Notamacropus eugenii: one gene and its partner. The protein of the gene in region 2 purifies or fractionates together with the protein of the main gene of each other region. This does not show direct contact. Links are inferred from orthologs where the notes say so. Each region holds a gene or a part of one and is shown on either strand. Other genes may lie near its edges.

Region 1 (3,742 bases), on a different chromosome or scaffold from region 2:
GTGGTTGTTCTTATTGTAGTCATTATGTACATCTTCTTTTCCTGGCTCTGAATTCTTCCCCTTGCATCAGTTCATCCAAGTCTCTCCATGCTTCTCTGTATTCATCATGTATGTTGCTTCTTCCAGCAGAGTAACCTTCCATTTCACTCATATTCCACAATTTGATTGGTCATTCACCCGCTGAAGGGGGGAAGATACTTTGTTTCCAATTTTTTGTTGCCACGAAAACTGCTGCTATGAATATTTTGGGGCGTGTGTGGATTTTTTGTGTCGGTGAGCTCCCTGGGGTTTATGCCTCCAGCAGAATCCCTGGGTTGTCCTGGATGTCGTGTCTGATGGTGGTGAGAAGGCACTTATTCATCCAAGTACTGTGAGTCTGAGTTATTACATCGGAAAAGGTAGATGACAACGAACAACCGCGGGAGGCAGAAGCAGAAGAGACCCCTGTGAATGCAGAGCAGGGAGTGTAGAGGAGGTGCACGGCGCCCCTGGGGAAGGGGTGGAGGAAGATGAAGAAGGAGAAGAGTCACTGGGCTTGGCGGATGAGTGACCTTGACAGGTCAAGGGCATCAGTGACCTTGGAGAGAGGTGGTGGAGAAGGAAGCCAACCGTATTCCTCCTAATAGAGGAAAGGCCTGAACACGGTGGGTCGGTCAGGAAAGGACACAGAAGCTGAACGAAAGGGGGATGGGGGGTCGGGCGCAGTCCAGCCAGGCCAAGCAGCCCCGTCCTGTCAGACAGTGACCACACCCCACGTGGGCCACGCCCGTCCTCGGCGGAGGGGCCCGAGAAGGGCCCGGGGACCCGAGGGAGGGGTCGGGAAGCCGGCCCCAAACGGGCCAATGGTGACACCCCGCCGGTAAGGGGGAGCGCGGGGCAGTCACGAAGCGGGCCCGGGGCCCGGCGCCTCGGGCCTAGAACCCCAAAGTGTTCTGCAAACCTTCGTTACGTCTCACCGCACCTGCCAGGGCCGGGTGCCTTTTCTATCCCGGTTTTATGGGAGGCCAGACCGCGCCGGCCCCCGGCCCCCCGCGGAGCTGAGCACGTGGCCGCAGCTCCGTCGGCCCGGGGCCGGCCCGGCCCGCCGCTCTCCTCGCGCCTCCTTTCAGATGACCTCATTGCGGCTAGTCCGGGCGGCCCCGGGGGATGCGCGGAGCTGTCGGGAATGGAGGCGGCGCGCGGGCCGCAGGCGTGGGAGCGGGCCGCGGGGCGCGCTCTGCGGATGGCGGGGCCGTCGGCCGGGGCGCCCCGCCGAGCCGCAGCCCACCCCGGCTTCTTTTCCTCCTTTTCCCCCAAGCGCACCGCCCGGCCGATCCCCGGCGGGCTCAAGGTTCCCACTTTGACGTTTTGGCGCCGCGCGCTTCCCGCGCTCTCCCAGGCGGAGCCAGACACTCCACCACATGCGAGCACGCACACCGAGCCCTCCGCGGGAGCCCAGCGCGGGGGCGGAGCAGAACTGGCGGGAGCGAGGGAGGGAGCGAGCCAAAGGCGCGAAAAAGCCGCGCAGGCGCGCCCGGCTCCCCGAGGCGGAGCGCGCGGGGGTGAAACTGACACTTTGGGCCCGTCTCTATGGGGCCGCTCGTGGCCGCACGTCACCGCGCTGCCGGCACGTCACGCCGGCTTGACGCTCCCAGTACAAAGTGTAAGTTTCAATTTTTTTGATCCCCCCCTTGGCCGACTCTCCCCATTTTGTGGGGAGGAGTGGGAGCGCAGTCGGGGGGGAGGGGGGTCGGGGGAAGCGAGGCCGGCCTCCGAGCTGCCGGGATCTACTCCCCTCCCCCGTGATCTCTCCCTCCCTGGGTGCGCGGGGGCTGCAGCGGCGGGGCCGCGCTGCCCCGCTCCCCATCTCCGCCCCCCACCCCCCGCGGCGCGGGCGCCGGGACCAGGCGAGCCAGGTGTGGGACGCGGAGCCGGCCTCGCGGGCTGGGGGCGCGTGTGCACGTCAGCGCGGGGCCCGGGGGGGCGGCCTTGCAGCCTGGGTGGGGGCTGGGGTGAAGGATGCAGCCGGGTTTGGAGCCCCATGCGGGAGGATGGGGGGGGGTCCTTGTGGAGCCCGGGAAGGATGGAGCGGGGGCGGGGATGGCGGAGGTCCGCCGGGTACTTGAGTGTGTGTGGAGAGTTAGTGCTGGCCTGGGGTGGGGGGGGCGGTCGGAGCGGAGGCTGGCCGGCAGGGCCAGCCGCGGGGGATGGGGAACCCGTGCGGCCGGTCTGGTCCCCTGGGCGGGCCCCCCTCTGCCCTGCCCCCCGCCTCGCCTCGCCTGTGTGTGGGCGCCGTGCACACGGCTTGGTGTCTCCTCGGGTCTCTTTTCCTGGTGCTGTGTGTTGCACATGTGCAGTGGGTAGACCTTGCCTTCCCCCCCTTTCCCATCCTTCTGCCCCCCACCCCCCCACCCCACGCTGCTGCTCCTGCTCATTGTAGCGGTTGCAGTTGGTGGTGGGCTCTGGGCTCCGCTGCGCTCCCGGCCTGGCTTGGGGGGGCGGCCAGGAGGGGAGGAAGACGCCTTCAGGTGAATTGACCCCCGGCTTGAGATGCGGGGCTCCGGGGAGGAGGGGAAGACGGGAGGGGGCCGGCGTGGACGGAGGCTCTGGGGTGCTCACCCCCTTTCTGCCTTTGCAGATGGGGAAGGGTCCGGGGGATGGGACGGAGAAAGGTGGGGGGGAATGCCCAGCTGGTGGAGGGGTGGTAGGCCTCTCTCCAGCCCCCCATCGCCCCATCAGCATCGCTGCGCCTCCTTTGGGGAGCAGGGTCCCACGGCGGAGGGTCAGGATGGCGCCTGTTGCCAGGGTGGTGCCCGGGTCTGGAGGGGGGGCGGAGGGGGGGAGGCACAGGCCGGTGAGGCCGGCCGGGCGGGCTGGCGGGCGGGCAGGCGGCTGAGCCGCCGCCGCAGCTGCTGCTTGTGTCCGTCCATGGGGCCTGCTCCGGCCAGCTCCCTGCGGGACACCCCGGCAGGGGAGGGGGCTGGGGGCAGCCCCTTCACCAGCCTGGGTGCTGAAATGGCACAGCAGGGTGGAGAGCTCGCTGCGAGTTCCGGTGCTGGGGGTGGGGTGGGGGGAACTCGCCCTCCTCGGGCTGTGGTTCCGAGGCCTAGTGACAGGTCAGGAAGATCTAGATCCCAGATGGACCTGGGGCTTGTGGAGTCGATCCCGGACCGGGGCTCGCCTTGTGGCCTGAGAGCAGTTACTTTAACCCTGGAGCTCCCTTGGAAGCACACCTGTCAGAGTTCTCAGCATGCTCAGGGCTGGGCCAGTGGAGCTGGCGGCTGACTGGAGTGGGGGCAAGGCCTCCCCTTCCACCTTTCAGTATATTTTGGGGGAAGGGGGCTAGCGGGAATCATATATCGTGCATTTTTGTGCTGGCAGTGTAAGGATGGGTTGAGTCTGGATATATAGACATGGGCATAGGTTGGCGTGCGTGTGCGTGGGTGAGGGTTAGAGGGTTTGCTTGTATCCATCATATCTAATCGTGGTGGGGGTGAGGGTCTTAGGTTCGTCATAGTCTTGTTCTGCCTATCAGTATAGATGGTTATATTTGTTACCCTGTGACATTAGTTTGTAGTGGGGTGAGCTAGAGGTATCGTTAGTAGTCTGGGAGCGTAAGAGTTTGTAAATTTCCTTTGTATAAGACACTGACATTTGTCTATAACATGTCGTTAGTCCCATAAATTATTTTTAAAAGAAGTAGCCAAGTTGCTTTTGTAGATTCCTTTCAGGATCGAATACATGTATGCATCGGAAGGGGGAG
Region 2 (3,742 bases):
CAGCTGCACTGGGATTCAAACTCAGGGCCTTGGCCTCCAGATCCTGCGTTCCTTCCATGGCACCCCCATATCAGAGGCAGAACCTGGATCCGAATCTTCCCGACCCCACGGATTCCAGCCAGAAATTTCCCCCTGCCCCTTTACAAAATGATTTGGCTCCAACTGCCCTTAAGGAGAAGCTTTCCCAGAAAACATAAAAGCATCGAAGGGGCGCAGCACAGCACCAGACGGACCCCTGCCCATCGCCCACCCACCAGGATGGTGCAGAAAGTGCCCGGGGAGGGCAGAGCGGGGGATTCCACCAGGCTGAAGTTAGGGGAAGGGAGCGCTGGAGGCCGGCGTGTCTGCCCCGCTCCCCTCCAAACGAGGGCACCCTCGTCCGCCCGGCTGGGCGCAGCCTCGCCTCCCTCCTGCCCGCGGGCGTGCATCCCCTCCGGCCCCGCGGCGGCCGCCGGCCAGGGTGGCCAGCCCGGGCCGCTCCTCCGCCAGGTGCGGGGCCAGGGGCGCACACGCACGGCCCGGCGGGCATGCCCTGCGCTCTGGGGGCAGCGCGGCGTCCACACCCGGGTGGGGGTCCGACCCAGCGTCCCAGGGCCCCCACGCGTGTGCGTGCTCGGACTCGGCGGGGGGTCCCTGACAGCCCACGCCTCAGGAGCCATGCCATGCCGACTCCTTTCTCTCCCTCCCTCCGTCCGTCCTCTCCCCAAGTCTGGCGGAGTCTCGGCTTGCTCCTGCCGGGGCGCTCGAAGCCCCGGCTACGTCCTCTTCCCCACCGCGTCCCCTTGGGCGCCCTGGCTTACACGAGAGTAGGAGGGGGGCCTGGGGTGCACGCGGGGCCGGGAATGCTGAGCTGGGGGGGCGGGGGACACACGCAGACGTCCCCTACACAGATGTACACACAGCTCTGCGTCCGGAGACGCACAGACACGTGCACGGACACATGCACAGACAAACAGACACACACACACACACACACACACACACACACACACACACACACACGGCACCGCAGGAGGGCCAGGCGCCGGTGCAAGCGCACACAACACACACACACACAGCACAGAGGCGGGCTGAACCCTAAGAAACACACACGCACACGCATGCACACACAAGCAAAGGGGCCTGGGCATGCATGCAGACATGCATGCATGCACGCACGCACCCACGAGCCCCCCCCACCACCGCGCACACGTCCGCAGCTCTCTCCCCCCGCCCGCTTCTCCCCCTTCCCTCCGCTCCCCCTCCCCCTCCGTTCGGAGCCTCCCCCTCCCCTCGTCGGAGGAGCCGCGCGCCGCCATTGGTCCGCCGGGCTGGTGACGCGCGGCGCTCGACCCCGCCCCCAGTCAGTCACTCGGCGGAGGCGGCGCTGGCGGGGACTAGTCTCGTCCGGAGACTGGCAGCGGCGGCGGCGGCAGCAGCAGCGGCAGCGGCAGCGGCAGCGGCAGCAGTAGCAGCGGCGGCGGCCGGAGCTCGAGCCCGGGCGGCTTCGGGGGGGGGAGGCGAGGAGGACGGCGGCGGCGAGGACGGCGCAGGCGGCGGTGGCCGCGGCGGAGACGCGGCGGCGGGCGGCGTTTCGTTTCTCCTCAGCGCGGCCCCTGTTGTGCGGAGGGGGGGGCGGGGGGAGAGCCCATCCATGACCATGGGCGACAAGAAGAGCCCGACCAGGTACCTGCTCCCGCCGCTCGGGGCCGGGGCCGGGGGGAGGGGCGGGGGCGCGAGCCGCAGCGGGAGGAGGAGGCGCCCACGACTAGGCCCCGCCGCCGAGCCCGGGCCGTGGCGGCGGCGGCGCGCGCGGTGGGGGGGGCCCGGAGGAGGAGGCGCCGCTAAGATGGACGTCGGCCCGGGGCGGGCGGCGGGAGGCGGTGTCTGCCGGCCTGCCTGCCCGCCCGCCCGCTTGCCTGCGGGGCCGAGCGCCGCCTCCTCCTCGGCCGCAGCCATGGCGGCTCCTCTTCCCCGACCCTCCCAGACAAAGGGAACGGCTTCCCCAGGTGGGGAGGGAGCGAGGCCCGAGGAGGACGCCCGGGAGGGGGTCCCCGCCCTTGTCGGGCCTGGGCCACGCGCCACGAGTGGGCCGGGGAGGAACTTCGGGGGGGGGGCCGCTCCCGTGAATTGGGATTTCTCACCCGCGCGTGTGTTTGTTGTTCTCCCCACCCCTCCCCCTCCCCCCACTCCGCGAAGGCCAAAAAGACAAGCGAAACCTGCGGCCGACGAGGGATTTTGGGATTGTAGCGTGTGCACCTTCAGGAACAGCGCGGAAGCCTTTAAATGCAGCATCTGTGACGTGAGGAAAGGCACCTCCACCAGGTACCCCGCGGCCCCCCGCCCCCGACACACGCACACACACAACGCACACGCACACGCACGCACTTGTTGATCGGTCGTGCCTTTTACCTGTGCCTGACTCATGTTGCTGTCGAGAGCGTGGGGCGCACGCTCGGAGAGTCTGCTTTTTTCGGTTTCCTGTGAACAGAATTTGGACCAATATTGTCATAATTCAGAGTTTCCAATTCTTTTTTTTTTTTATCCCATTTCATAAATTGAGAACCAGCGCAGGGGCCTGAGCCCTTGACTTCACAGACGGAAGCACTTCTTTTCTCCTACACGTCTGTGGGGAGTGAAACGGAATTTTCTTTTTGTCACGGGCGGAACGGTTGGGTGTGTGCCAAGCCCAGGGAGGCTTTACGGGAGGATCCCCGAGCACCCCGCTTGTCGTCCCGTAAAAGCCGCAGCACTTGGAAGGGCTGCGGCCGGAGAGGCAGCTGAATTGGGGCTCTTTAAAGGCTCGGCGTCGGGGCTTGTAAATTGCAACATGGTGAAACTGATCAGGCTGTAAATACTGTCGTGCTGGCTTTGTGCCAGGAGTAGCAGCTCGGAAAGTTCTTGGTGGTGGCATACCCAGTCCTGAACGGTGCCGACCCGGGCTCTGGCGAGCTGGGCTCTCCTAGGTGCAGGTTTTGTGTGTGTGAGAGAAAATTGGGAGAAACTCCTGTGGTTGCTTCGGAGTTTTTTGTTTCCTTCCCTGTTGTCTTTGAACAGAATTTGGTGCAGTGTTATCATAATTTGGAGTTTGAGTTCAAACTGTTGTGGTCCTCATTTGATGCCCAGATGTTTGTGTATATTCTGGGTTGGTACTTGGAGTGGATTGCCAAAAAGTGGGTCGTTTTACCAGGTGTCTGTTTTGTTTGGGTGGTAGTCCAGTGTGACTGTAGTATTTCAAATGCATAGCATTCGGTAACTTGCATGGCTTCATGATTAAAGACTCTTCTTTATGTAGTGCCTGTAATGTTGTGCTTTGATTTTTATACTTGAGGTTAAACATAAGTAGTTGGGCATACTTTTAAGCTTATAACTTAAGACTTAGTTTAGATTTAAGTAGTATACTTGAATAAATAAATCACCTTGAAAAAAGAAAGAAAAGTGGACCACTGAAATTGGTTATTTTAAGAGCTGATTTTCCCTAGTTTTTGGTGGTGTTCATCATAACTTTAGGAATATATTATTCTAGATTGAATTTGCTTTGAGGCGGAGGAATATTTTTTTTCAGTTTCTTAAATGTAGATTTCTGTCAAATGCCATTAAATTTTGTACGTTATTATTATAAGCAATAGCATGTGGATTATTTCTTTACATGTAAAAACCTTTATTGTGGTTTTACTTTGAGGGTTACTGTAAATGATGGGTGTAGTACAACGCAATGACTGGGAAACTCTTGAACTTTTTAAAAAATAGATTATTATTGTAT

The links. The genes of interacting proteins can lie anywhere in the genome.
Region 1: the proteins of RYBP (region 2) and TFDP1 purify together in Homo sapiens (affinity purification with mass spectrometry; 3 studies listed by BioGRID and IntAct, counting the BioPlex papers as one, with this or other methods). This does not show direct contact. The link is inferred for Notamacropus eugenii from reciprocal best matches to the Homo sapiens genes YAF2 and TFDP1.

What each region holds. Positions count from the first base shown.
Region 1 is NC_092877.1:207,440,770-207,444,511, reverse strand, and holds the start of TFDP1 (transcription factor Dp-1), read left to right. Parts: upstream 1-1,457; 5' UTR 1,458-1,642; intron 1,643-1,658; exon of another isoform or gene 1,659-1,895; intron 1,896-2,239; exon of another isoform or gene 2,240-2,507; intron 2,508-3,742. UniProt on the Homo sapiens protein: Can stimulate E2F-dependent transcription.
Region 2 is NC_092874.1:450,830,233-450,833,974, forward strand, and holds the start of RYBP (RING1 and YY1-binding protein), read left to right. Parts: upstream 1-1,418; 5' UTR 1,419-1,633; coding exon 1,634-1,665; intron 1,666-2,178; coding exon 2,179-2,304; intron 2,305-3,742. UniProt on the Homo sapiens protein: Binds to MYC and inhibits MYC-mediated transactivation. Also binds to MYCN and enhances MYCN-dependent transcriptional activation. Increases calpain 2-mediated proteolysis of YY1 in vitro.